Macaca fascicularis: one gene and its partners. The main gene of each other region encodes a partner of the protein of the gene in region 4 in a complex. Links are inferred from orthologs where the notes say so. Each region holds a gene or a part of one and is shown on either strand. Other genes may lie near its edges. The genes, in order: STRAP, CRNKL1, SNW1, SNRPD1, TXNL4A, SNRPD2 and LSM3.

Evidence for each region.
Region 1: SNRPD1 (region 4) and STRAP share a complex: the UniProt entries of both Homo sapiens proteins name them as parts of the SMN-Sm complex. The link is inferred for Macaca fascicularis from reciprocal best matches to the Homo sapiens genes SNRPD1 and STRAP.
Region 2: SNRPD1 (region 4) and CRNKL1 share a complex: the UniProt entries of both Homo sapiens proteins name them as parts of the minor spliceosome. The link is inferred for Macaca fascicularis from reciprocal best matches to the Homo sapiens genes SNRPD1 and CRNKL1.
Region 3: SNRPD1 (region 4) and SNW1 share a complex: the UniProt entries of both Homo sapiens proteins name them as parts of the minor spliceosome. The link is inferred for Macaca fascicularis from reciprocal best matches to the Homo sapiens genes SNRPD1 and SNW1.
Region 5: SNRPD1 (region 4) and TXNL4A share a complex: the UniProt entries of both Homo sapiens proteins name them as parts of the U4/U6-U5 tri-snRNP complex. The link is inferred for Macaca fascicularis from reciprocal best matches to the Homo sapiens genes SNRPD1 and TXNL4A.
Region 6: SNRPD1 (region 4) and SNRPD2 share a complex: the UniProt entries of both Homo sapiens proteins name them as parts of the SMN-Sm complex. The link is inferred for Macaca fascicularis from reciprocal best matches to the Homo sapiens genes SNRPD1 and SNRPD2.
Region 7: SNRPD1 (region 4) and LSM3 share a complex: the UniProt entries of both Homo sapiens proteins name them as parts of the U4/U6-U5 tri-snRNP complex. The link is inferred for Macaca fascicularis from reciprocal best matches to the Homo sapiens genes SNRPD1 and LSM3.

What each region holds. Positions count from the first base shown.
Region 1 is NC_088385.1:18,696,899-18,701,034, forward strand, and holds the start of STRAP (serine-threonine kinase receptor-associated protein), read left to right. Parts: upstream 1-1,336; 5' UTR 1,337-1,656; coding exon 1,657-1,768; intron 1,769-2,488; coding exon 2,489-2,624; intron 2,625-4,136. UniProt on the Homo sapiens protein: The SMN complex catalyzes the assembly of small nuclear ribonucleoproteins (snRNPs), the building blocks of the spliceosome, and thereby plays an important role in the splicing of cellular pre-mRNAs.
Region 2 is NC_088384.1:67,267,686-67,271,185, reverse strand, and holds the end of CRNKL1 (crooked neck-like protein 1), read right to left. Parts: intron 2,831-3,500; coding exon 2,729-2,830; intron 1,939-2,728; coding exon 1,690-1,938; intron 723-1,689; coding exon 555-722; 3' UTR 500-554; downstream 1-499. UniProt on the Homo sapiens protein: Involved in pre-mRNA splicing process. As a component of the minor spliceosome, involved in the splicing of U12-type introns in pre-mRNAs.
Region 3 is NC_088381.1:145,676,371-145,679,489, forward strand, and holds part of SNW1 (SNW domain-containing protein 1), read right to left. Parts: coding exon 3,074-3,119; intron 774-3,073; coding exon 656-773; intron 1-655. UniProt on the Homo sapiens protein: Involved in pre-mRNA splicing as component of the spliceosome. As a component of the minor spliceosome, involved in the splicing of U12-type introns in pre-mRNAs.
Region 4 is NC_088392.1:68,147,116-68,151,362, forward strand, and holds the start of SNRPD1 (small nuclear ribonucleoprotein Sm D1), read right to left. Parts: upstream 2,801-4,247; 5' UTR 2,685-2,800; coding exon 2,671-2,684; intron 1-2,670. UniProt on the Homo sapiens protein: Plays a role in pre-mRNA splicing as a core component of the spliceosomal U1, U2, U4 and U5 small nuclear ribonucleoproteins (snRNPs), the building blocks of the spliceosome.
Region 5 is NC_088392.1:1,026,814-1,029,784, reverse strand, and holds the end of TXNL4A (thioredoxin-like protein 4A), read right to left. Parts: intron 954-2,971; coding exon 782-953; 3' UTR 501-781; downstream 1-500. UniProt on the Homo sapiens protein: Plays a role in pre-mRNA splicing as component of the U5 snRNP and U4/U6-U5 tri-snRNP complexes that are involved in spliceosome assembly, and as component of the precatalytic spliceosome (spliceosome B complex).
Region 6 is NC_088393.1:53,756,366-53,760,366, forward strand, and holds the start of SNRPD2 (small nuclear ribonucleoprotein Sm D2), read right to left. Parts: upstream 2,801-4,001; 5' UTR 2,748-2,800; coding exon 2,746-2,747; exon of another isoform or gene 2,014-2,745; intron 1-2,013. Other genes in the region: QPCTL (glutaminyl-peptide cyclotransferase-like protein), read left to right, coding at 3,562-3,768. UniProt on the Homo sapiens protein: Plays a role in pre-mRNA splicing as a core component of the spliceosomal U1, U2, U4 and U5 small nuclear ribonucleoproteins (snRNPs), the building blocks of the spliceosome.
Region 7 is NC_088376.1:152,442,898-152,447,095, reverse strand, and holds the start of LSM3 (U6 snRNA-associated Sm-like protein LSm3), read right to left. Parts: upstream 2,801-4,198; 5' UTR 2,760-2,800; coding exon 2,739-2,759; intron 173-2,738; coding exon 62-172; intron 1-61. Other genes in the region: XPC (DNA repair protein complementing XP-C cells), read left to right, coding at 3,049-3,148. UniProt on the Homo sapiens protein: Plays a role in pre-mRNA splicing as component of the U4/U6-U5 tri-snRNP complex that is involved in spliceosome assembly, and as component of the precatalytic spliceosome (spliceosome B complex).

The DNA of each region.
Region 1 (4,136 bases), on a different chromosome or scaffold from region 4:
CAAAAGGGAGAGGCTGACACAAAGGAGGAGTCAAACAAAATAAAATGAAAAACGTATATAGTAAGTGCTTTACTGTAAGTGAATGGACGAGAGTACTAAGGAAAAAGAATAGAGACATATTTCAAGTTTTCACGTTGTTTGACGCAAATCTTGTAGACGGTGTTTGCTGCAAAAAGATGAAGAAAACATTCACAGACATTTATGTTGATTACATATTTATTGGTATGTGCCAAGACGTTTTGATCTTGGGGATGAAGTAGTAAACACAAAAATCTCTGTTGTATAGGGCTTACATTCTAGCAATAAAGAACTTGCCCAGAGAAAAGGCCTCTCCTGGTTAGTAAACAGTATGAACAATTAACAGCTCTGGTTGTTTCACAGAGCCACACTGGGCTGCCTGCTGCAGACAATATCACAGTTTATATTTAAATATTCTTTTAATTTGTCCTTGTATGTAATTTGCAAATTATCACTCATATGTATACATATCAAAAGATGTGTAAAAGTTTTTGATAGAATTCAGCATTCATTCGCTTAAAAAATGAGTGCAGGCTCACTTTATTGATGAGAGTATTTAATCAAAAATATTGGGGATCTACAACTCTAGAGTTCTCCAAAGTCCACCAAGGAAAAAGTAATTTGAATTTAATCGCATTTAAAACTATATAGTATCCACGCCTAAAACATTAGCAACATAGGAAAACTCACACAGCAGAAGAGATGGCTGGGGAATTTTTTTTGGTTTTTGTTTTTTTGTTTTAAGACAGGGTCTCGCTCTGTCGTCCAGGCTGGAGTGCAGTGGCGCGACCACCGCTTACTGTGGCTGGCCTCGACTTCTCCGGCTCCAGTATCCTCCCACCTCAGCCTTCCAAATAGGTGGGACCACAGGCACCACCACGCCAAGCCCGTATATGGTTTTTAAGTAAGACAAATTGCAAAAAAACGTTACTAGACAGTGTTCGCAGGTTTGAGCCGTCACTGGGAATGGCTCGTGTCCGTCTAGATATTCAGAGGCCGAGCACAGTCCTCAGTAGGGCTGCTCGGCGGGTACACTGCTGCCGCTGGCCCCTGGGCTTACGGGAGTGGGAAGGGATTTCAACTCGGCCGCGGACCGGGAAGGCGTTCTGACCCGCTAGAGCTCGGGGCGAGGGACCCCATCCCGGTGCCTACAGCGCCTCCTTTAGCCGGCATGGGCCAGCGTTAGTTACCTCAGGGCACTGAACTGGCGCCTGCGTCTTTCTGCACTTCTCGCTCTTTCTTCAAGTCACTTATGCCCAGCGAGCCCGCCCTCCCGCCAGCCAATCGTCATTTCCGGCGGGTGCTCTGCGTCATTTACGTCGTCACTTCCTGCCGATACCGGTGTGGACGGTGTGAATCGTGGCTGGGCCGGTTCTCTGCTTCTCCCCATCCCCTACTTTCCTCCCTCCCTCCCTTTCCCTCCCTCGTCGACTGTTGCTTGCTGGTAGCAGACTCCCTGACCCCTCCCTCACCCCTTCCTAACCTCGGTGCCACCGGATTGCCCTTCTTTTCCTGTTGCCCAGCCCAGCCCTAGTGTCAGGGCGGGGGCCTGGAGGAGCCCGAGGCGCTGCAGCAGAAGAGAGAAAAGACAACGACGACCCTCAGCTCGCCAGTCCGGTCGCTGGGTTCGCCGCCGCCATGGCAATGAGACAGACGCCGCTCACCTGCTCTGGCCACACGCGTCCCGTGGTTGATTTGGCCTTCAGTGGCATCACGCCTTATGGGTATTTCTTAATCAGCGCTTGCAAAGGTGAGCAAGGCCTCAATCCTGGTCCCCGACGGCTGGGACTGGGCCGAAAGGGATTGGGACCCGCACTCTCCAGTGCTGAGCTGTGGTGTGGTGAGCGGGGAGGGGGCGATATTAACATCTGAGATGAGGGCCAACACTGGTCCAGTGGAGAAAGGAGTGTGTTAGGGAATCCGCAGCTGGAGCCGAGAGGCCTCCGGACGCTTATGTAGAAACTATTACCCCCAGCTAAGACCTCTCTCCTTATTTTATTTTTATTGCTATTTTTGAAGGAGCTGGACAGCACTTGCCTAGACTCTCGGGACAACACTGTAAATAGCTGTCAAGGATTTGGGGAAAGGAGAAATTAGGCCAGGCCGTGCGATACCTTACAAAGATGTTCGCTCTTGTCTCACTGGGTATTCCTTTGTGGTATTAGCCTCATTTTTCAAATGGGAAACAGATTTAGGCTACAATGTTTGTCCAAAATAAGACTAAAATCTAAGTTATTTCGACGCAGATCAGTATTCCCAGCAAATTACAGATGCTTTTCAGGGAAAATGATCTGTTCAGCTCTTCAGTTAATTATTACTGGACATTCCGTAGTGACTTCAATCGGTGGTGATAGTTAAATAGCTGAAACAATTTTTCCACTTCGTCATTGAACATCATTGTATATTTACATTTGAATCTTAGACTTTAATCCGAACTTATAAATTACATGTTTTAAAAAATATTTTCTAGATGGTAAACCTATGCTACGCCAGGGAGATACAGGAGACTGGATTGGAACATTTTTGGGTCATAAAGGTGCTGTTTGGGGTGCAACACTGAATAAGGATGCCACCAAAGCAGCTACAGCAGCTGCAGATTTCACAGCGTAAGTGTAGCCAAGATGGCTAACTTTGGTGTTCTCTGTAGATTGTGTCCTGAAATAATCAAAAACTTCAGTCTCAGATATTCATAAAATTCTGACTCGCTGGCTGCCATATAGAACGCATGATGTTTGATCTCACCAAAATTCCATCCTGGTCCATCGTGGTCCTGTGTGCTGCTTTTGTCTTCAGTGGTTCTCAAAATTTTTAGAGGCCTAAATGACTTACTCCTTATATTTTGATTGAGACTCAGGAATCTGCATTAACAAACGCTCCAGATAATGAATGTTGATCTCCTTTACGAATGCTGCTCTGTGTGTACTCCTTAGTGATAACCTACAGTGATGACCCTAGGTTTTTATTTCAATCCCAGTTTTTGTTAACTGGCTGTAGGCATCACTAAAACTCATTGTGTCAAAAACAAACAAAAAGACAAAACAACAACAAAGCAAAACTCAACTGCTCTTCATTTCCTAAGTTTTTAAAGGTTGAAATCTAAAGCATTCTTGATTTTCCCTTACATCGAGATTATCATCATCTGTTTTGATTGTGCCAGCAGGATGTCTCCTGACTACAATGTTCCTCCATGTAGTAACTGCCACTGCCTTAGTTGAGGATCATTTTTAACTTTCAGTAGTTTCTTTTCCTCCTATTCATATTCCATATTGCTGCCAGTTGTCTTCCTAAAAATGTATTTGATCATGTCACTTCTCTACCTAATGATCTTGCTGTCTTCCCTTTGCCATTTTAGTAGTTCATGACCTTTGACATACATTAGAATATCTGGAGAACTTTTCAAATATTCAAATGGTATGTGTCCCAGAAATTTGGATTTTTAAAACTTTTTTTTTTTTACTTTTTTACTCTCTATGCATATATATATTTACACTTTTTACTACATTGAAAAATTTTTAAAATACTTTTTAGTATATAGACAGTATCTAGCTATGTTGCCCAGGCTGTCTTAAACTGTTGGCCTCCATGCGTCAGCCTCTCAAAGAGCTGGGGTTTTGGGGATGAACTATTGTGCCTGGTACAGAAATTCTGGTTTGATTGGTCTTTAGGGATAGAGTACTGATCATACTGATCATTGGCGTTTTTTTTATTTTTCTTCCCTCCTTTTCTTTCCTGATATGCAGTCGTAGAATTGCTGACCTAAAGGACACATTTCAATTGTTGGCCCTTTACAGTTTGCTTCATCCTAGTTCATCAACATCATCCTCTCCCATTGCACACCATAAACCTACAATCTAATTATACTAATCTTATTGTTGTCAGAAATATACTTTACCTGTTCTGACTTTTGGCTGTTAATTATGTTATTAAACTGACCTACAGTGGCCCTCGTTGCCTTTTTGGGAATATATCATGTATTAAAAATCTTGTTTTCTCCAGTTCCTACTTGGTATTTGTAACTTAGGAATTTGACACTTCATTGTTTAAACTGATGAAGGCAATATCAAGAGCTATTGTGCATACACAAATTTATTAGATTTAAGAGGCTAGAGAGTACAAGT
Region 2 (3,500 bases), on a different chromosome or scaffold from region 4:
AACTATTTTTAAAAGTGGCTTAGAACAAACACTTTACTGAGCACTTACTATGCACCCACCAGGTATATTCCTTTTATAATGTAATCTTCAAAATGAGTTGTCAAAGTATTGGCCCATTTTGTGAATGAGCAAAATGAAAATTAAGTTATATAATCACGAGTGGCAGAGCTGGGAAATGAACTCAAGTCTGTGACTCTGAAGACATGAAAAAGTTACACATTTCAGATGAATGCATAAACTATCTTTATGGTTATGACATGAAAAGTTACTGTAGAATGTTACCTTAATTACATTTTCTAATGCATGATGTGGACAGACGCTAGAAAAGTTTGGACTCAGTTGGAAAAAGAAATCCAGCAGTTAAAAAAGTCCTTTACTTGCAATCCCCACCCCTAGCTAACCCAAGAGCATTTAAAAAATAACTTAAAAAGTAGCTATCAAAGATACCAATCAGTTTCTTACTGGTGAAATATGTAAGAACTTCCAGGAGTCACAAGAGTTCCAAACAATTAATTTATAAAAATAACAAAACATTTGTCAATATGAAAAAAAGATCAGGATTCACTCTCATCGACGTCCTCATCTGGATGGTGCTCAGCATCCTCCTTTTCCTGCTGCTGTTTCTTCCACAGTTTGGCCATGGCCAGGAGTTTGAGGTTAGGCTGGTTGGCAGCATCTTCTGGAAAGATGTAATCAAAGTATTCTTCCCAGCCTGCATCAGACTACAGAAATAAAACAATGAAAAGATAAGCAAACATGGGTGATACACTCACATATCAGAATGAAGGTTTTTTACTGGAAATCCGAAGGATTACCTCCATTTTACAAAACAACATCAAAGTCTACTACAGAAAGAACAAGGGCTGGGTCTGAAAGACTGGGAGTGAGTAAGCAGCAACTGTAGCTCAGTGAGAACTAAAATGGTAGAAAAAAATTCTAAAAATCTAAGCATAGCTCTTCTACAGCCAACCAAGATGTTCAGTGTCTCCAACTACATTGTGCAGTCTTAGGTTTAAGAAAATGTTTAACGATTTTTACATAATATTCATCCAGTAGCAAAAGTCATACATCTGTGCATTATTATTCCAACTCCCTACCCTCCCATCCTCACCTCTTATCAGTCACTGATTTCACCTTCCAAATACTGTTCTAACAGGCCCTGTGGCCCTGTTCTAGTTCCAGCTTCCATGTCTTGCTAGCTTATAAAAACTGCTTCCTGATGGGTCTTCTTTCTCCAGTCTAAGCCCCTTGAGTCTACCAGTATGAGATGCCAGATGCCAGCAATCTGGTCACGTCATTTTATGCAAAACAGCCTTCACTGACTCCCACCAAACTCCTTCTTATCGCCTACAAGCCTTCTCTGGATAGGCTGCTATCTGAAAGTTCGCTTCAGTCTTCCTCCACGCTGACTTCCTATTTAATGCTCTAAAAATATCACACTTCATGAAGTTCCCAGACTCAACCGTCATCAAAACACCTTTGCCAACCCCTTCTCATTCTCCACCTCTGACTGGACCATATGCTCTACCCCGTGTTTCCATAACAGCCAGATTGCAACCATCTCCTACTCCAGGTGGTCTGCTTCCATTCTAAGATTGTACATATGCCACTAAAAAGTCTACATTTCAAAGTCAGATGTGTTTCTACTCATGTGACGTGAGATGAACAGTCCCAGGGCAGAGATCTTACCCCATCGTCCGTCTGGACCTTTCTTCTCTTCTTGACTTTCTCTGGCATGAGTTTGTCTACTCTCTCCTTATCTGAAGCTGTTCCAAATTCCTCTTCAAAACTTCGCCAAGATTCCAGCAGCATAAGTCTCTCTTCCTTTTCTTCACAGTTTCGCATGGTTTTGTTAGCTTCTTCATAAATTTGTCTGCATTTAGCCAAACTTCCTTCTTTTCCTGAAGACAATTCAAACTGAGCAAAGCTGATCCATACCTTTAAAAAAAGTTATTATTGAACCAAATTAACCATGTCACTCAGAAGACACTAATGTAGTAATAATAAAGCGAATTCCCAGTTAATGACATCAGAAAGATGTGTTCATTACTAGTGTTTCACAGATTAAAACAATGAATATATGCTTCAATACAAACACTGAAAATATGTCATTCTACATTCTACAGTTAAATGTCTGACATAGTTTTAAACTCTTGAAAAGAGTTTAACTTGGCTGGGCGCAGTGGCTCACGCCTGTAATTCCAGCACTTTGGGAGGCTGAGGCGGGCAGATCACAAGGTCAAGAGATTGAGACCATCCTGGCCAACAGGTGACCCCATCTCTACTAAAAATAGAAAAATTAGCTTGGGCGTGATGGCGCACACCTCTACTCCCAGCTACTCAGGAGGCTGAGGCAGGAGAATTGCTTGAACCCGCGAGGAGGAGGTTGCAGTAAGCCAAGATTGCGCCACTGCCTTCCAGCCTAGCGACAGAGTGAGACTGTCTCAAAAAAAAAAAAAAAAAAAAAAAAAAAAGTTTAACTTTTTTTCAATCTTGTGATACCCAAGCTATTCACATGCAACATAAACAATGACCTGGTATAAACTTAACATTCGAAAGTCCTCTGAGACTCATGTTTCTCTTAAGAAGCAAGGAAGTCATTTAAAACAAAACAAAACAAAACAAAAAACAAAAAAACCCCACACACTTAAAATACAGAAATAGAGTATTTTCTTCCGGACTGCTGATTCAAGCAAAATGAAAGATCATCTACAAAGCAAACGGATACCTTGACATGCTGCGTCCTTTGAAGCAACCGTCGGTAAAGGTTTCGTGTTCTTTCTGTTTCTTCCTGCTCAATTTCAAAATCAATATATGATTTCCAAAGCACCTAAGAAAGACAAGTAAATTGGTCAGTCTTGACATTTGCAAAGCAGCATGCCCCCAGCCAAAGCACAGCTTAAGTATCACTCTAACCTACATCTAGGAACATAAGAGTTTTACAGAACAACTAAAGAACACATGTGGATAAGACAAATAACATTGGTATCTATAAGCTGGCCAAAACTTGGCTAGAATTTCAGATTACAGAAAAAGGGCCTTGGATTCAGTCTTAGAGGTTCTCTTTGGAAGTTTTTCAAATGGTTGACTTATCAAGAGCTGAGAAACTTGCCAAGCATCTCCCAGGTACTCTTTCATATTCCAGCTACATGCAGTTGAGCTTCCAGAGAGAAAATAGGCCCAGGTTAGCCAGTATGTATGTTCTTACCTCTACTGTACACTCCTTGTTATTATCAGAGTTCAATGCAACAAGCATTCACTGAACAGGTGAGCACTGGCTCGGTGCAGCCTGGCAGGGCATAAGGATGAATAAACCGTGGCCTGGACACCTGAGACCTGGCAGTCTGGTGGAGGAGCTGAGGACAACTGACAAACTCAGTGATACCCAAAGCTCTGCCTTAACGCAGTCAGGGGGCCAAACCATTAAATGCAGGGTCATGTCAGTGCATGAGATTAACAAAACAACTGGGTGAGTTCTACGGCTCCTGTGAGATTCAAAT
Region 3 (3,119 bases), on a different chromosome or scaffold from region 4:
CACAATCTTGGCTCACCACAAGCTGAAGCAATTCTCGTGCCTCAGCCTCCCAAGTAGTGAGGATTACAGGCATGCACCACCACACCTGGCTAATTTTCGTATTTTTAGTAGAGCTGGGGTTTCACCACATTGGCCAGGCTGGTCTCAAACTCCTGACCTCAGGTGATCTGCCTGCTTCGGCCTCCAAATGTGTTGGGATTATAGGCAAAAGCCACCGTGCCTGTCCTCCCTGGTTCTATTTTAAAAACAAAAGATTGACATACCACAGCACCAAGTTGTTTTTTTTTTTTTTTTTTTTTTTTGAGACAGAGAGTCTCGCTCTGTCGCCCAGGCTGGAGTGCAGTGGCTCAATCTCGGCTCACTGCAAGCTCCGCCCCCCGGGTTCACGCCATTCTCCTGCCTCAGCCTCCCGAGTACAGCACCAAGTTTTTAATCAGCTAATTTCTTTCTTCTCCTAGTGTCTCAAATTTCAGTCCACTGTAAGAAGTTAAAATCAGAACTGTTTCATCTTTCTTGTCTCAAGTTTCAACATACAACTTCCAATTTTTTTGTCATCATGCTGGCATTTACATCCAAATATGAAGTATGGTAATTTTCGTTTCCCTGAGGATAGGTATTCACATCAACACAACAATATGCTTTCCTAAACTTGTACCTTGGATTGGTTGAAGAGCCTTTGGTCATACTGAACTTCATTGGAAGTCCGAGGATTAGGAACACCGAGAGCAATGACTTCACTGATATCCCGATTTTCATTTCTCTGAAGTTTCGACCTATTTTGAAATACGACATCACTAACTGAAAACTCTTTATAGACAAACTGAGTATGTTCAATAGAAATACAACCAATCTCAGAAGCAAAGGACATGAATATGTCACATTCACATCTTGAGAACGTATATTCCTTGATAATACATAATCAAGTTGGCAGCCCTTATAAAGCATTTCAGATTAGAGGGAAGAGTTTTACAATTAGGACATCCTGTTAGCTCAAAAGAACATCTAACAGATTCGTTGACATGGAATTCTTTAATATAAGCAATCACCTTACAACCATACTGAGATATAAAATTGCTATGGTCTATATTTACTATCATATGATGGTTTGGGGGTTGGGGAAGTGGATACAATTTAGATGTAGCACAGGAATCATTTTAAATAAGCTAGAAACAGCTCTTTTATCTAACTACATTTAATAATTTTATCCCACTAGAATTTTGAGGAAAACATGTCAATGACTGAAATAGTTAGTATGATTTTTGACATTCAAATTAATTTGGTTTCCTGGCTGTTTCATTATACATGCAATCTATATCCCAATGAAACCATGGTAACTGTCATTACTTATTTTACTAAAAACTCAGGTCACAAAATGATTTCTACAGGCTATTTGATTTTCATCCAGTTACAATTTTACAGCTTTTCTATGTTGTCAATTCTGATGGCCACTTTACTGGTTTTGAGGGCCCAATTTATCCACAGAGCCATTGTAACTTTTACAACTTAGGAATTACTAACCAAGACTGTCATTAATTAAACACTTTCACACTTTGCTCCTCCTTCTACATGTACGTTACCCTCAACTCAAGAGTAAGAGTCTCTGCTTCTCTATGACGTCATTTATCCAGGGAGATGAAATATGCCAATTAACACCAGCAGGAATCTTTTTAATGCCTATTTATTTTTATTTTTGAGATACAGTCTCGCTCTCACCCAGGCTGGAGTATAGTGGCACGATCTTGGCTCACTGAATCCTCTGCCTCCAGGGTTCAAATGATTCTCCCACTTCAGCCTCTCGAGTAGCTGGGACTACAGGCACATGCCACCACACCCAGCTAATTTTTGTATTTTTAGTAGAGATGGGGGTTTCACCATGTTGGCCAGGCTGGATGAACTCCTGACCTCAAGTGATTCGCCCGCCTTGGCTTGCCAAAGTGCTGGGATTATAGGTGTGAGCCACCGTGCCCAGCCTCTTTTTTGTGTTTAAAATATGACTTGAAAAATGTATTAGGCTCATGGGATGATCAGAGCATAGAAAACTGTTCCTTTGGGAAGAAAATATTTTATATTTGCATTTAACCCTCACTCAGAATTCTACCTTTGTATTGCAGCATTTCCTCTACTTTTCAGAACTTTAAGTCCTCAGCCTTTGGTGAGCCATAAACTTCCCCAATCCATACTTTATGCCCTTGTATATGTATTTAGTTTGTTCCATACATTTATATTTACTAAAAGTGCTTTGCAAATTTTCTCAAATTATTTTATGGATAGCTCTGTCTTTCTGAACTGTAAGTTAAACTTCTGTTAAGAATGAGCTGATTTTCACTTCTTTCAAAACTGCTCTTCTCAATTGCACTAGATGCATATAAAGTACTATGCATATAAAATGATCTCAGTAAAAGCATGACAGCTTATTTCCTGTCTAAAGAGGCACATAATCCATTTGTCTCACCATTTAAGGTAGGAAAAGAACCGACTATAACAGTCCAAATTTACTACTACATCCTTTTCAAAAATCTGATCTCAATTCTGTTTTCCATATTCCCATCATTCTCAATTCTGACTTAAGTGATGGAAGAAAAGATTAATTCCAAAGACAGTCAACTAGAGCTAAGACAAAGTTAAGTATAAGAAAATTAAGTGCTAATGTATTAAGTTATCAAACTGAAGAAGAAAGGGAGAGAAGCAAAACTGATCTTAGTGGACTAAAAACTCTGCTCTAAAAGGTACAAAAAGGCCACTCTTCATGATTGGTACCTATCTTTTTTTGTGTGAGACGGAGTCTCACTCTGCCCAGGCTGGAGTGCAGTGGCGCCATCTCAGCTCACTGCAAGCTCCGCCTCCCAGGTTCACACCATTCTTCTGCCTCAGTCTCCCGAGCAGCTGGGACTAGACGCCCACCATGACCACGCCCGGCTAATTTTTTGTACTTTTAGTAGACATGGGGTTTCACCATGTTAGCCAGGATGGTCTCGATCTCCTGCCCACATCGGCCTCCCAAAGTGCTGGGATTACAGGGGTGAGCCACCGCGCCCAGCCTCCATGATTGGTACGTATCTTAAATAACACCTACCTCTTATCAGGAGCTGCCCTGGAAAGATTCCGGTCATGCTGTCTCT
Region 4 (4,247 bases):
AGGCAAAATTCATGTATGGTGGAAGAAATTGGTTGCATCTAGGGGTATGGAGTCAGAGGTTGCCTGGGAAAGGCTTGAGGAAACTGAGGTTTTGGTAATGTTACTTCTCTTGATAGGGGTTTAGGTTACAAAAGTGCTTATGTTTTTCAATAGCAGGAAATATACGCTGCATTTCATTGTATTAAGATATTCACCTCAAAGAAGGAAAACAAAAATCCATGAGTGGGATAAAAAGGGCCTGAACCTCAATGGTGGTGACCGGAACGAAAGGAGGCTACTATGGGCAGGACAAATACACAATTATCCCTCCCTAACTGAACCCAGGAACCAAATGGATTCAACTTATTTTCAGACGAATCTTTCAGTATCTGAATTCTTTCTACTTAGTGAAACTTAGATATCAAATAGTCAGATAACACGGTGTCCCTCAGTATCAAAACACACTATCTGAACCCAAAAAACAAACAGGAAAATGTGGGACACTTTTATGCAGTAGGTAAAACTGGCAGTGTATCAAATGTCAAGGACATCAGGAGAGAAAAAGTCAAGCTCACCTCCCAGGTTTTTGGTTAGGGTGACAGTGAGAATAAGGATGACAACTACCAACTGATATACAGAAATTAGTCTACTGAAAACGCAAACCAGTTAGTCAAACAATCATTTTCTGGAGGAAAAATACATTCTCTGGTAAGAAAAAAATTTTCTTTCTATATTTGACCTAAGACACAAAACAGGATTCAGTCCAGCTATTAAAAATTACTGGAAAATTGCCATAACATGCAATATCTTTAAAGGGAACAAATGAAATCCAAGGTGTATTACATAAAATTGAACTATGAGTAGATTAAGATTCAGATTAGCAGGTATGGAGAAATTTCAAAAAATGTTGTAATTTTCTTTTTTGAGACAGAGTCTCGCTTTGTTGCCCAGGCTGGAGCACAGTGGTGTGACGTCGGCTCACTACAACCTCCCGGGATCAAGCGCCTCTCTTACCTCAGCCTCCTGAGTAGCTGGGATTACAGGCGCCCGGCTAATTTTTGTATTTTTCGAAAGACGGGGTTTCACCACGTTGGCCAGGCAGGTCCTGAACTCCTGACTTCAGGCGATCCGCCTGCCTCAGCTTCCCAAAGTGCTGGGATTACAGGCGTGAGCCACCGCGTCCAGCCTAAAAAATGCACTTTAAATTCTATGACTTCCTATCCAAAATTATAGTTCAAATAAAAATACAACAAAAATTAATCTTAATTGTCTTTTGTACCAACTCCTCCCTGAATTTTTTATTTTTTTATTTTTGCAACGGAGTCTCGCTCTGTTGCCCAGGCTGGAGCGTAGTGGCCAATCTCAGCTCACTGCAACCTCTGCCTCCTGGGTTCAAGCGATTCTCCTGCCTCAGCCTCCTCAGTAGCTGGGATTACAAGCGCGCGCCACCACGCCCGGGCAATTTTTGTAATTTTAGTAGAGACGGGGTTTCACCATGTTGGTCAGGCTGGTCTCGAACTCCTGACCTAGTGATCTGCCCGCCTTGACATCCCAAAGTGCTGGGATTATAGGCGTGAGCCACTGCGCCTGGCCTCCTCCCTGAATATTGAAGGCTTTTATGTGTTATTTAAAACGTTTCAAACAAACGTTATCTACTTGTCTGTCATCCCCCTAACTAGAAAGCTCCAACAAGGATCTGCCTTTTAAAAAATACTATTACCAGCGCCCAGTAGGTAACAGGTGCCCAATAACTATTTAGCGGATAATGACAATCCTTGACTCAACAGGAAAGAAACAAGCTAAATATTTATAATCGATGGCTTAGTTATTAGAAACGTCTGCCTCTGTTCCAGGCTCAGTCTCAAGGAAAAAGACCAAAACCAAATCTACTCGCAGGTAGTTTGGAATTAGTCTCCAGAAGACTCACCTAAGTGACAGGGTCTATTTCTCGCGAAAGAAATAAAACAGAATAACTATATATCATCTGGGTAATCAGCCACAATTACGTTGTGATAATTTCTGCCCTATATTGGGAGATTTTCCTAAATAAAAAGCTTACCTTAACAGGAAAGAGGTAGAATAATCAATCATAAGTCTAAGGAGAATCAAAAGATAAACTTAAAAATCGGCCGGGCGCAGTGGCTCACACCGGTAATCTCAGCCCTTTGGGAGGGCGAGGCAGGCAGAACGCTTTAGCCCAGGAGTTCGAGACCAGCCTGGTCAACAAAGTGAGACACCGTCTTATTTAAAAAAAAACAAAAACAAAAACTTGTGAAGCCAGAAGTCCTTCTCTGATTTAAAACAGTTTGCAAACAGGTTTGTTTCCAGATAAGCTCATACAGCTTTCTAAGTACTCTTAAGTAGGGCTGGAGCTCCACTCAAAAAGAAAATCAGTAACTGTAAGGGCGAGATGTCTCCCAGGCGGCGCTGCACCTTGAAAGTCTCTAAGTCACTAGGCGGGAAGAAAAGGCTCGGCCTTTATACCAGTATCTTGGAAGACACGCGGGATCCGCGAGCGACCCAGGCAGAAGCCCAGGCCCGAGCACGAGCTGCGGGCGCAGTAAGGCCGGCCGTTAGCAGGCCGCGCACACGCGGCTTTCCCGCCTCCTGCAAATGGGAGAGCCCAGCCTTCCGGACTCCGGGCCAAGCCCTCCCTCCACAGCCCCCAGAGCTGCTTGGTCACTCCCTCACCTCACGAGCTTCATCCTAGCGGCGCCGTCACCCTTCGGGTCCGAGAGCGCACAGAATCCAACAACCGAATACTGACCAACTGCAGTATGAATGGCCGGAAGCGCCTACTCCAGGGACTCCGGTCGTAAAGGGCGCGCGGAGCACAGCAGACGCACGGCGGAAACGCCGAGGCTGCGCTGGGCCGCACTCTCTTCCGGTCGCGAGGAGCGCGACTGCGGCCCCTGGCGGCTGGAGGTTGCCTTGCCACGACTGAGGGTGTTGAGGGCTGGTCTAAGAGGAAAAGTGTCCCACAAGAGAAGGAGATTCGAAGAGGTTAAATCCAATTAATAGGACTGTCGCACTTTGGGAGGCCGAAGCGGGGGTATCACCTGAGGTCAGGAGTTCAAGACCAGCCTGGCCAATAGGGTGAAACCCGCGTCTGTACTAAAAATACAAAAAATTAGCCGGATGTGGTGGCGGGCGCCTGTTATCCCAGCTACTCGGGAGGCTGAGGCAGGAGAATCGCTTGAACCCGGGAGGCGGAGGTTGCAGTAAGCCGAGATCGCACCACTACACTCCTGCCTGGGCAACAAGAGCGAAACTCCGTCGCGCGCGCGCGCGCGCGCGCGCACACACACACACACACACACACACACACACTAGTACTGTCACCATCACGTTTCTGAATAGCAGGGCACCGTGAGTGCAGCACCTAATATAAATTCCTCACTGAACGAAAATAAGTTCTTAGAGAAGCCCAAAGGATTATGCTAATTCTGTTCCAACGCCAGGAACCTTAGCATTACTTAATGTACCTGAAGCAATTCACACAATGAGCCGGGCGCTGTGGCTCACGCCTGTAATTCCAGCACTTTGGGAGTCCGAGGCGGGCAGATAGCGAGGTCGAGAAATCAAGACCGTGCTGGCCAACATGGTGAAACCCTGTCTCTACTAAAAATACAAAAATTAGCTGGGCGTGGTGGCACACGCCTGTAGTCCCAGTTACTCGGGAGGCTGAGGCAGGAGAATCGCTTGAACCCAGGAGGCGGAGGTTGCGGTGAGCCGAGATCGCGCCACTGCACTCCAGCCTGGCAACAGAGCGAGACTCCGTCTCAAAAAATAATAAAAATAAAAAAATAAAATCACACAATGTAGCGGATTATTTTCACTTTAAGTTCCGATCTATAAGACAAACTTTTCAATCTTCATCTTTCACAACATCTCCTCAAAATTTATTTTTATTGTTTTTCTGAGACAGAGTCTCCTTCTGTCGCCCAGGCTGGAGTGCAGTAGCACCATCTTGGCTCACTGCAACCCTTGCCTCCCCGGTTCAAGCGATTCTCGTGCCTCAGCCTCTCCAGTAACTGAGATTACAGGGGGGAATCACCACGCCCTGCTAATTATTGTCTTTTTAGTAGAGACAGGGTTTCCCCATGTTGGCCAGGATGACCTGAACTCCTGACCTCAAGTGATCTGCCTCTCTAGGCCTCCCAAAGTGCAAAGTGCTAGGATTACAGGTGTGAACTTCATCAAGATTTAACACAAACACTCCCCTTACCTCTTTCAGGTTTCAGGATGCCAAGCTCACCTGGCCTTTT
Region 5 (2,971 bases), about 67 Mb from region 4:
GCCACGCTGGAGCAGGGTGGGCCCCAATCCAACACAGATGGTGTCATTACAAAAAGGGGAAATTTTGGACCAGCACCCACACAGGGAGGACACAGAAGAAGTATCCACACACCAAGGAACTGACAAGACCACCAGCAGCCCCCAGAAGCCAGGGAGAGGCCTGGGCAGACTCCCCTCACGGCCTCAGTAGTAACCCACCCTGCAACGCCCGATCTCAGACCCAGCCCTGCAAAGCTGCAACGCCCGATCTCAGACCCAGCCCTGCAAAGCTGCAACGCCCGATCTCAGACCCAGCCCTGCAAAGCTGCGACGCCCGATCTCGGACCCAGCCCTGCAAAGCTGCGACGCCCGATCTCGGACCCAGCCCTGCAAAGCTGCGACGCCCGATCTCGGACCCAGCCCTGCAAAGCTGTGAGAGCTTCTCTGTTAAGGCCCAGCTCGCGGCAGGCTGTCACCGCAGCCCTAGCAAACTAATCAAGTACGCAAAATGCACAACCTCACAGGATAAACACCTTCGTTTTACTCCAAGGATAAGAATTAACTTTGACTAGGAAATATCAGTCATGTATTCATCAAGTTTCCTGAGAACAAACAAGTAGGCCTGCTCCTCTCACCACGTGCTTGTTTATTTTGGTGAGTTAAGACCATGTAATCAATTCCATCTCAGAGGTCCTCCAGCCCTCGAGCTTCCTGTATTTTCCAAAGGCTTTAAATAGCTTAAAACATTTCCGCACAAAAACGGCTCCAGGACGTTTATCTTATCCGCGCAGACTGAGGTGCCTCAGTAGCGGTACTTGGTGGAGTAGTCCTTGGGGGACACCACCAGGCCGCGGCCTTTGCGGGCCCCGCGGTACACAGTCTCTATGATGTCCACCATCTCCTGCTTGTCCTCCATGGCCCAGTTAATCTTGTTGTTGTTGCCAGTCCCCAAGTCAATCATGATATGCTTGTTCCTGCAAAGAGAAACAAGGGCATCCATTCTCATAAAATCCCTTTAAAAAAGAATTCCTTGAAAACAATGCTGTATTTTTCCCACTGTTACAAGTTCTTGTTAACATCACTGAAGAACGCATAAAATCAAAAGTGTCTGCCATGATGCAGGAGAACACAGGAAGCACCTAAACGTGCTTTTTAAAAATGCAATGCATCGTCCACCACGCTTTTCCCTGCATTTTTCTGTATTTATTTAGGATAAATATTCTAAGGGGAAATTAAAAGGTCAAAGGAGGGCAGGCGCAGTGGCTCAAGCCTGTAATCCCAACACTTTGGGAGGCTGAGGCAGGAAGATCACTTGAGGCCCAGAGTCTGAGACCAACATGGATAACAAAACGAGACCCCCAACTAATTTGTACTAATTTACCTGATAAAAACAATGTGTTTTTCATGGTGCTCTTCTGAGCACTGACATAAATTGTATTAAAAGCCCTTCAACTATGAAATGAAGATGACATTTTGCATGTTTATGGTGAGGGAAGCAGATGATTCTTGACTTATCTTTCAAGAGATTAGTTCTTTTTCTTATGAATACTTATGTGCACTTTACAAGATAATGATATTAGCCCTTTGTTGTACTGGCATAAATTTATCCTGGTTTGTTGAAGTTTCTTTCTGAGATGGGGTCTCACTGTCGTCCAGGCTAGGGCACGGCAGCAAAATCAACCTACCGGCCCAAATGATCCTTCCACCTCAGTCCTCTACATAACAGGGACAACAGGCATGAGCCCCCACACCCAGCTAATTTCTAGTTTTTTGTAGAGATGGGGTATCCCTATGTTGCCCAAGCTGGTCTCAAATTCACGGCCTCAAGTGATCCTCCCACCTTGGCCTCCCAAAGTGCTGGGATTACAGGTGTGAGCCACTGCGCCCGACCTGATTATTTTTCTTAGAGATGAGGTCTATGTTGCTAAGGCCGGACTTGAACCCCGGCCTGCAGAGTGGCTGGGTGGCAGGCATGCCCCACCTGAAGACTGTTTTTTAACGTTCACTTCCACAAGATCATGCATTTGGCTTCCACCTACTATTCCACAGAAAGCGTTCCCAGTGAAGTCTGTGGTTCAGGAAAGGCAAATCTGATCAGGGTCTGGAGCCCACCTCTGGCCGCCCTCTCATTCTCCATGCTGCAGGCCGGCGCTCCATGCAGCACGCACCAAGATCCTTCTACACCGACTGGGGCTGCCCGTAGTACCCTCCCTGTAGCCCTATCTGACTTGGGGGTACTTCTTCAGTATTTACATCTCATAAACACCTGCCTCCTTTCACTTCTTCAGTATTCCCTGCTAATTTACTCAGCTGTTTCTTCTATCAGACAAAGTCCTGTGAGAGTGGGAATCCTGCCTTATCTGATATTAGGCCCCACCACTAGACCACAGACCTGGTGGGGGCTCAAGACACATGTTTAGTGCATAAGGTAACTAAAGTACCATTTGTCTTAATATTCTGAATCACAGAAACAACAGCAGAAGGAAGTTTCATCTTCTTTTCTGAGTATAGCATCAGTCCTACGAATATCAAACTACACTAAGTAGGCTACAGCCTCCATCCAAGGCTGTTCCCTGCAGCCTCCTTGCCCCTCACAGCATCTCCAGCCCCAGGCTGGCCTCCGCTGCATGCTGTGGGGGACAGAGACCTAAGACGGCCCTCCCTGTTCTCACCTGAAGAATTAGAAAAGGCCTCTATTGCCTCAAACAGGCTGTTAACAGGAATATGGACTTTAGGAATGCCTGGTGCGGGCTCGGAAGGAAGTGAGGAGTGCGTTACTGGGAAACGGAGCAAAGGGGACCCCGTTACAGAGTGGCCGAGGAACAGGGACACAGGGTCCGCAGTTATGGGAGATCAGTGCTCAAAAGCAACACACTTGGGATATTTAGCTGCGGAAACTTCCAAGCAAAGTGTCGGAGGTGCTGCCTTCAAGAGAGGAAACAGGCAAATTCGTGTAAGAACTGTTAACAAAAGGAATAAATTCTTGAGCCTC
Region 6 (4,001 bases), on a different chromosome or scaffold from region 4:
TTCCTGACCTCGTGATCCACCCGCCTCGACCTCCCGAAGTGCTGAGATTACAGGTGTGAGCCACCGCGCTCAGCCAGACATTTTCAACTCTGCATGTCTCAGGTCGGGGTCCAGATCACCCAACCACCGAAGCCTACCCTATCCACAGTGTTCCCCATCTGCCTTCTAGTTCTCTGGGCAAAAACTCTTTGTCAACTTGATTCCTCTTTTTCCCTTGCATCCTACAATAAATCTGTAGGAAGTGGCCATTTCTTACCATGGCCTCAGCCTCTGTCATCTCTGACCTGGAATCTTTCCGGTCTCTCTGCCTCCACCCATGTTCCCTGACAGTCTGTTCTCCACAGAGTGGTCTGAGGGGGCTGTGCTAAAACCTAAATCATAACATGTCACTCTTCAAAGCCCTCCCAGGGGCTGGGTACGGTAGCTCATGCCTGTAATCCTAGCACTTTTGTGGTGCAGAGGTTGCGGTGAGCTGAGATCGCGCCACTGCACTCCACCCTGGCAACAGAGCAAGACTCCGTCTCAAAAAAAAAAAAAAAAAAAAAGAAAAGAAAAGAAAAGAAAATGTCTGTTAGGCATCCAGCTGGTGATGATTCACAAGGCGGGTGGATCACTTGACATCAGGAGTTCGAGACCAGCCTGGCCAACACGGTGAAAACCCATCTCTACTAAAAATACAAACAAAACAAAAACAACAACAAAAAATTAGCCAGGCGTGGTGGTGCACGCCTGTAATCTCAGCTACTTGGTAGGTTCTGGCAGAAGAATCGCTTGAGCTCAGGAGTCGGAGAGTGCAGTGAAGCGAGATCATGCCACTGCACTCCAGCCTGGGCGACAGAGCGAGACTCTGTCTCAAAAAATAAATAAATACAAATTAGAAAATACAAAAATTAGGCTGCGTGTGATGGCTCACGCCTGTAATCCCAGCACTTTGGGAGGCCAAGGGGGGTGGATCGCCTGAGCTCAGGAGTTCCAGACCACCCAGGGCAACATGGTGAAACCCTGTCTCTACTAAAAATACAAAAAAATTAACGAGGTGTGATGGCGCATGCCTCTAGTCCCAGCTACTTAGGAGGATGACGCAGGAGAATCGCTGGAGCCCCAGCAGCGAAGGTTGCAGTGAGCCAAGATTACACCACTGCACTCCAGCTTGGGTTACAGAGTAAGACTCCATCCCCCACCCCAAAAAAAAAAGTAGCTGGGCATGGTGGCGCATGCTTGTAATCCTAGCTACTTGGGAGGCTGAGGCAAGAAGATCACTTGAACCCAGGAGACAGAGATCGTGCTACTACACTCCAATCTGGGTGACAGAGCGAGATTCCATCTCAAACAAACAAAAGAAAATCCTCCCATGCCCCCCCGCCATCTCAGTGTAGAAAGTAAAACCCCGGCCAGGCATGGTGGCTCACGCCCGGCCAGGCACGGTGGCTCACGCCTGTAATGCCAGCACTTTGGAAGGTCGAGGCAGGTGGATCATTCGAGGTCAGGAGTTTGAGACCAGGTTGGCCAACATGGCGAAATCTGGTCTCTACTAAAAATATAAAAGTCAGCTGGGCATGGTGGTTGGTGCCTGTAATCCTAGCAACTCGGGAGGCTGAGGCAGGAGAATTGCTTCAACTCGGGAGGCAGAGGTTGCAGTGAGCTGAGATCGCACCATTGCACTCCAGCCTGAGCAACAGAGCAAGGCTATGTCTCGGGAAAAAAAAAAAAAAAAAAAGATTTTTTTTTTCCTTGGGAACAAAAGGTTTCATTCACTGATGTATCCTATGTGGCTTAAGCAGTGTCTGATACATAAACATTCAATGTAATATTTGGTGCACTAATAAATGAGCAAAATCATGCCAATCACTCGTTATCCCTTTAAGTTGTGAATTAGGTCGAAAACGCATCTGTCTCCAGCTCAAATGATCAGGAGAAGTCCCTTATTTCAAATCATTATTTCTAAAAGTCCTAACTTCCCTTCCCCAGTATTCGTTTTGATTTCTTTTGTTTCGTTTTGAGATGGAGTCTTACTCTTCGCTCAGGCTGGAAGTGTGCAGTGGTGCAATCTCGGCTCACTGCAACCTCCGTCTACCGGGTTCAAGCGATTCTCCGGCCTCAGCCTTCCAAGTAGCTGGAATTACAGGGGCCCGACACTACGTCTGGCTAATTTTTGTATTTTTGGTAGACACGGGGTTTCACCACAATGGCCAGGCTGGTCTCAAACTCCTGACCTCAGGTGATCTGCCCGCCTCGGCCTCCCAAAGTGCTGGGATTTACAAACCTGAGCCACCGCGCCCGGCCTCCCCCAGTATTCGTAAAATCGCTGCCCCTTAACATTCACTTCAATAGGACTAATTATCTAGGACCCCCCTCCGTTATCGTTTAAAATATGTTTTTCATAATTAAAAAAAATTTTTTTTGTAGAGACGGGGGTCTCGCTATGTTGCCTAGAGTAGTCTCGAAACTCCTGTGTTCTAGCGATGCTCCCGCCTTGGCCTACTAAAATGCTGGGATCACAGGCATGAGTCCCCGCGCCCAGCCCAGCGCGTTATCTGATAAAGCTGTCCCCTCTCCCGAAGTCACGATGCGTCAAAGGCCCCACGCCCGTTCTCAAACTCATCAGGAGAAACGCAGGACGCTCCATCCCTAAAACATCTGCCCCTGTCCCCCACCCCGCTCTCTGCTCAACCCTTCCCACCCTCAATCGGTCAAAATTTCCACCCTCAACCTCCTTCCCGCCGCCTAAGCCTAGCCCGGCCTCACATGATGGTCACTAAGCTCTCCGTTCACTCCCGTTTCCTCCGCGTTGCTGCAGCCTGAGGCGAGAGAGGCGGGACTTCCTCTTCCTGCGACCCACTTCCGTTGGCGCCTGCGCAAAGCCAACCAGTAAGTGGAGGCGTGGCCTGTTGCCATAGCATTGCCCACCAACGGTGCACAATGAAAGAATAAAAGCCTCGGATAGGGGTTCGAGGCCAGTCAGAACCACACGGGGCAGATGTTTATGACAATGAAGACAAAAGGAAAGGCGGTCTGATTCAAACCGTTTCGTTTAAGAATGGTACAGGTTTAAGGAGGGAAATGACAAACTATTTCCAAATGCCCGCCGGCCGTGACTTCGGGGGCGCGGCCTCCGCTGAAGCCAATCCGCTCCTCGCTTCGGAGACAGGCACCGCCCCTCTTCCCTCTGGGACGGGTTATTGACGTATCTACTGATCTTTCCGACCCTGCGCCACCAATCCCCTGCCTACATCCGGGAGGGGCATGGACCTGCGCCCGAGAGATTGAATATTTTCCACGATCAAACGCTGCTCATTGGCTTTCCCCCTCCGCTAAGGCGGAGCCTATCTCTTTTGCGCTCCCTTTTGGGTCGTGCCATTCTCAGAAGAACCAACCCCAATACCCAAGGGAGGCCGGGAGGCGTGTCCTCAGGACCGTAGCTCTTATTGGTTTCGCTGCTCGCTGTGGGGTGGGCAGGTGCAGCCGCTGCTGTTGCTTATTGGCCCACTGATTCCATGGGGTGGAACTTGGCTGGGCCTAAACTCAATCGTGGTCTGGTACAGGTTTCAGGGCATAGCTGCCATGCGTTCCGGGGGCCGCGGGCGGCCCCGCCTGCGGCTAGGGGAACGTGGCGTTATGGAGCCACTCTTGCCCCCGAAGCGCCGCCTGCTACCGCGGGTTCGGCTCTTGCCCCTGTTGCTGGCGCTGGCCGTGGGCTCGGCGTTCTACACCATTTGGAGCGGCTGGCACCGCAGGACTGAGGAGCTGCCGCTGGGCCGGGAGCTGCGGGTGAGGCTGGGCGGGGACCCGGGCACCGCGGGGACCCTCATTCCCTCCCCGCTGTTACCCAGGGTTGACTTGGCTTTAGCGTACGGCCCTAACCGCAGATGCCACAGTCTTCGTCATCTGAGCGCATGACCCTTACCAAAGGAATAAGGCTTCGGGCTGGTTTTACAACAGTAGCTTCCTTTTATGAGGAAAGGTCTGAAATAGTAAGACGAGGGGGTTCAGGGTTCTACGCC
Region 7 (4,198 bases), on a different chromosome or scaffold from region 4:
TTTCAAGGGAGTGGGGGTGGGAAGGAATCTGATTTCAAGGTAACTTGATAAATTTACTCACATGTAATCTGCCTCGAAGCTCTCGGTCATTTCTCATCTTCACATAAATTCGCTCATCTAGGCTGAGCCTGATAAGATCCAGGGGCTCCTCTACAGTGTTGGTAGTTTGTTGCTGATAACAGAAACAGGTTTAGTAATATAGTACTAGAGATAAAGTAGTGCTTAAATCACTGCTATGCTGTATGACCATGTGCAAGTTATTTAACCTTTTTCTGCCTCAGTCTCCTAATCTGTAAAATGGAGATAATAGTGTCTACCTAATACTGTTTTTATGAGGCTTAAGTGACATATATGAAGGCTTAGAACAGAACTTTTCACATAGTATGTGCTATATAAATGTAGATTAAAACACGCATACATAAGAAGGAGTTACACAGCAAAATAATCATGACTATACTTTGTTCCCTCAAAATCCAAACTGCCTGACCCGATTTCAGGGTATAGGGTCTTAGGAACTTTAGCTTTATCTCAAATATTATGTAATCATAGGAAAAACACTCACTTAATGCCTACCATATACTAGTCAGAATGCCAAGTAGAGGTGTAGGTTTATGGGAAGATTATGAATTCAGCACAGGTTGAGGTTAGGCTGCCAACTGGCCAGTAAGATGAATATTTAGTAGCCAGAATAGAACACTGGTTCAAAGCACTGGCTTAGCCGGGCATGGTGGCATGCGCCTGTAGTCCCAGCTACTCCGAGGCTGAGGTGGGAGGATTGCCTGAGCCTGGGAGGTGGAGGTTGCAGTGAGCCAAGATGGTGCCAACAAGCAAGCAAGCACTGACTTTGGAGTCAGGCAGTCTGGGTTCAACTCCTGGCTGTGACCTGACACTTATGAACTGAGATTAAAAATCATGCCATCTGTAATTCTCAGATTCTTCATTTGTAATTGAGAAAGCCACAACCTTCCTTCTGGATTCTTATGAGGATGAAACTAGTTAATGCATTTAAAACAGTGCCAGGAAAGCAGAAAATATTAATACTTAGAAACGGTTCCTTTTGGCTGGGCGTGGTGGCTCAGGCCTGAATTCCAGCACTTTGGGAGGCTGAGAAAGGCAGATCACCTGAGGTTAGGAGTTTGAGACCAGCCTGGCCAACATGGTGAACCCCGTCTCTACTAAAAATACAAAAATTAGCCAGGCGTGCTGGCACGTGCCTGTAGTCCCAGCTACTTGGGAGGCTGAGACAGGAGAATCGCTTGAACCAGGAGGCAGAGGTTGCAGTGAACTGAGATCACGCCACTGCACTCCAGCCTGGGCGATAGAGTGAGACTCCATCCAAAAAAAAAAAAGAAAAGAAAAGATTCCTACTAATATTATATTATTAAAGAACTGCTGGAAACACTGGTTTTAGAGGTCAGGGCTAGGATGACTTGGGGTCACCCACATGGAAGGGAGGGTTGCAGCCATTAAAGAGTTAGATGATTCAAGGAGAGCTTCTTTAGTAAGCACACAAGGCCAGTGGAGGAAGGTAACTGAATTCGTAACAGGCGCTAAAGATTCAAAAGGCCCGATGAGAGAAAAAAAAATAACCTAACTCAACTGGTCCCTATGTCCCTCAGTTCAACAGGTGTTTGTTAAAGGATCTGATAACCAACTGTTAGATTACAATGATACAGAAGTCACAATCTCCACCCTCAAGGAGCTCATTCTAATGTGGATAGGCATATGAATAATTATAATACTGTAAGAATATGCACATGACAGAGCTCTACTGCTACCTAAGCCTCTGTCTGGGATGCCCACTTTCTGTTCTTTTTCATCCTGTAGCTTTATACATTGGCTTTTAAAAGAGGCCTCCTCTGATCATCTAACTCATTCACTCAAATATTTGTTGAGTATTTCCAGCACTGTTCTAAACCCCAAGGACAAAAGAATGAACAAAACAAAATGCCTACTGTTATGGCACTTACATTCTAGTCAGGAGAGATACACATTAAACAAAGATGCATACATTTAATATGAAAAAATAACGTTCTATGAAGAAAAATGAGGCAGGGTAAGCAGAGTAGGGGGAGTGCTATTTGGGCAGAAGTCCTCTCTGAGGAGGTGAGATTTCAGTAGAAAGTTTAAGTTGTAGCATGATCTCCAAAGATATTTGAGGAAGAAAAAGACCAGGTGAAAAAGCTTCTAGGACCATCTGTTATTCTGCATACCAGTTCCTTGTTTCCTTCATAGCACATCACAGTTCCTATAAATCTTACATATTTATATTTATCTGTTCTCCTCGCGAATATAAGCTCCAAGTCATGGCAAGGATCACTTATATATCGATGTCAGTGTCCCTGGCTCTTAGAACAGTGTCTAACCATACAAAGCTGATGTTCACTCTCTCTGCTGAATGAGTAAATAATTGTTGTGCTCAGTAATAACAACTCCTAACTTTATTATCTGGCTTTCTATTGGAATCCTGACAGCTCCGTGAGGTAGGCACGCATAATAATTTACAGATTTAAAAAAACAAAGCGAAGAGTGTGATGAATAGTCATCAGGTGGCCTTCTAACGGAAAAGACCTCAGGGCCTGCAGCAAAATTCGGACAGGGGTGTTTACGGAAAGGATGGGGCGGATTAGGCCGTGTGACTTGGAAAGAAGAGGCGCGACTGGCCATTTTTCCTGCGTTTGGAAAAAGCAGTTTAGTACAAGAAGCGGCGCCGAGCCACCGCCTTAAAATTCACTCACCTGGTCTACGTCGTCCGCCATGTTTCAAACCCTGCGCCCTTTCCCGCCTCTCGCGAGAACACAAGAGCAACGCCGAGCTCCGGAAACGTGATGCTACAATACACCGGAAATAGAAACCTGCTGTGCTCTTGCCTGCTTCCCGCGGTTTTTTAGTGGCCACGGGTATGGGGCGGAGCTTCCTTTGGGGGCGTGACTAGGCCTCCAACGAAGGGGCGCGGCCAGACGCGCCCGCCTCGGGGCGGGGCCTGCGTTCTAACGCATCGCGGCCTGGTGCGTCACTCGCGAAGTGGATTTTTCCCCGACAAGCAATATGGCTCGGAAGCGCGCGGCCGGCGGGGAGCCGCGGGGACGCGAAACGCGCAGCCAGAAGTCCAAGGCCAAGAGCAAGACCCGGCGTGAGGAGGAGGAGGGTGAGAGCGTGGCCCAGCGGGCTTCGCGGGAGACTCTGCCGGTGGGCGGAGGAGGCCCAGAGGCAGGGGCGGCGGGAGTCCAGACGCGGAGGCCGGGTGGAGGTTGCTGCGCGCGTTCCGCGCAGTGGGGGCAGCACGGCAGGCCGCGGCCGGCCCTCCCCGCTGTCCCTGCGCCTTTGTCCTCTGCACCCAGAGCGGCTTCCCGTGAGCCTCGCCCGACCCAAGCTCCTGCGTAGCTTCTTTCCCGCTCCCCGTTGTCCAGAGGATACAGCGCAGATGTTCAGGGTTGAACGCGGAGAAGGCAGTTATTTGTGTCCCAGGAAAACGGACGGACGGACCAGGACGTAGAGTGATGCAGTGTGCTGACTCCCGAATGATAACTTCAGCTGAGTCTCGCCCAGAGTTCCACAGTGGGATCCCACCTGACTTCCCCTCGTGGATATTGGATAGGCTTCTTACATTTGTCGTGGACAGTGCAGAGCTCATGGTCTTCCCCTTCAAATCTATGGTTTCCTCCGTTTTTCCAGTCCCAATACTTGTTATAAAACAAAGTCCACCTTTTTCTTATGTGCACACATCCAGTCCCGTCAGCAAGTCCAGTCAGTTCAGCCTCAGACTGTATTTCAAATTTGTCCACTTCTCTTCATTTCCATGGCCACAACCCCTGTCCAAGTCACCATCACCTTTCAGTTGAGTGACTGCAGTTTCCTCTTGACTGGCCTCCCAGCTCTGCATCCAGCAACGCAAATAATCTTTAAAAAAAAAAAAAAAATCATGCCATGCTCCTGCTTTAAACTCTCCTTGGTTTTCCATTGCTCTTAGTTTAAAACCCAGTTGTCTTATCCTGGCCTGCAAGATGCTACGTGTTTTGGCTCTTGCTACCTCTCCTGTTTCTCCTACCACTTGTTTCCTTGCCAGATACCCTCCTCATTGGCCTCCTTTCTCTTCCTCAAATATGCCAAGTTATTTCTTGAGCCTTTTCCTTTGATATTCCTTCGGCCTAGAGTGACCCCCCACCATGGCTTTTGCCAGGGCTGATTTCTTCAAATC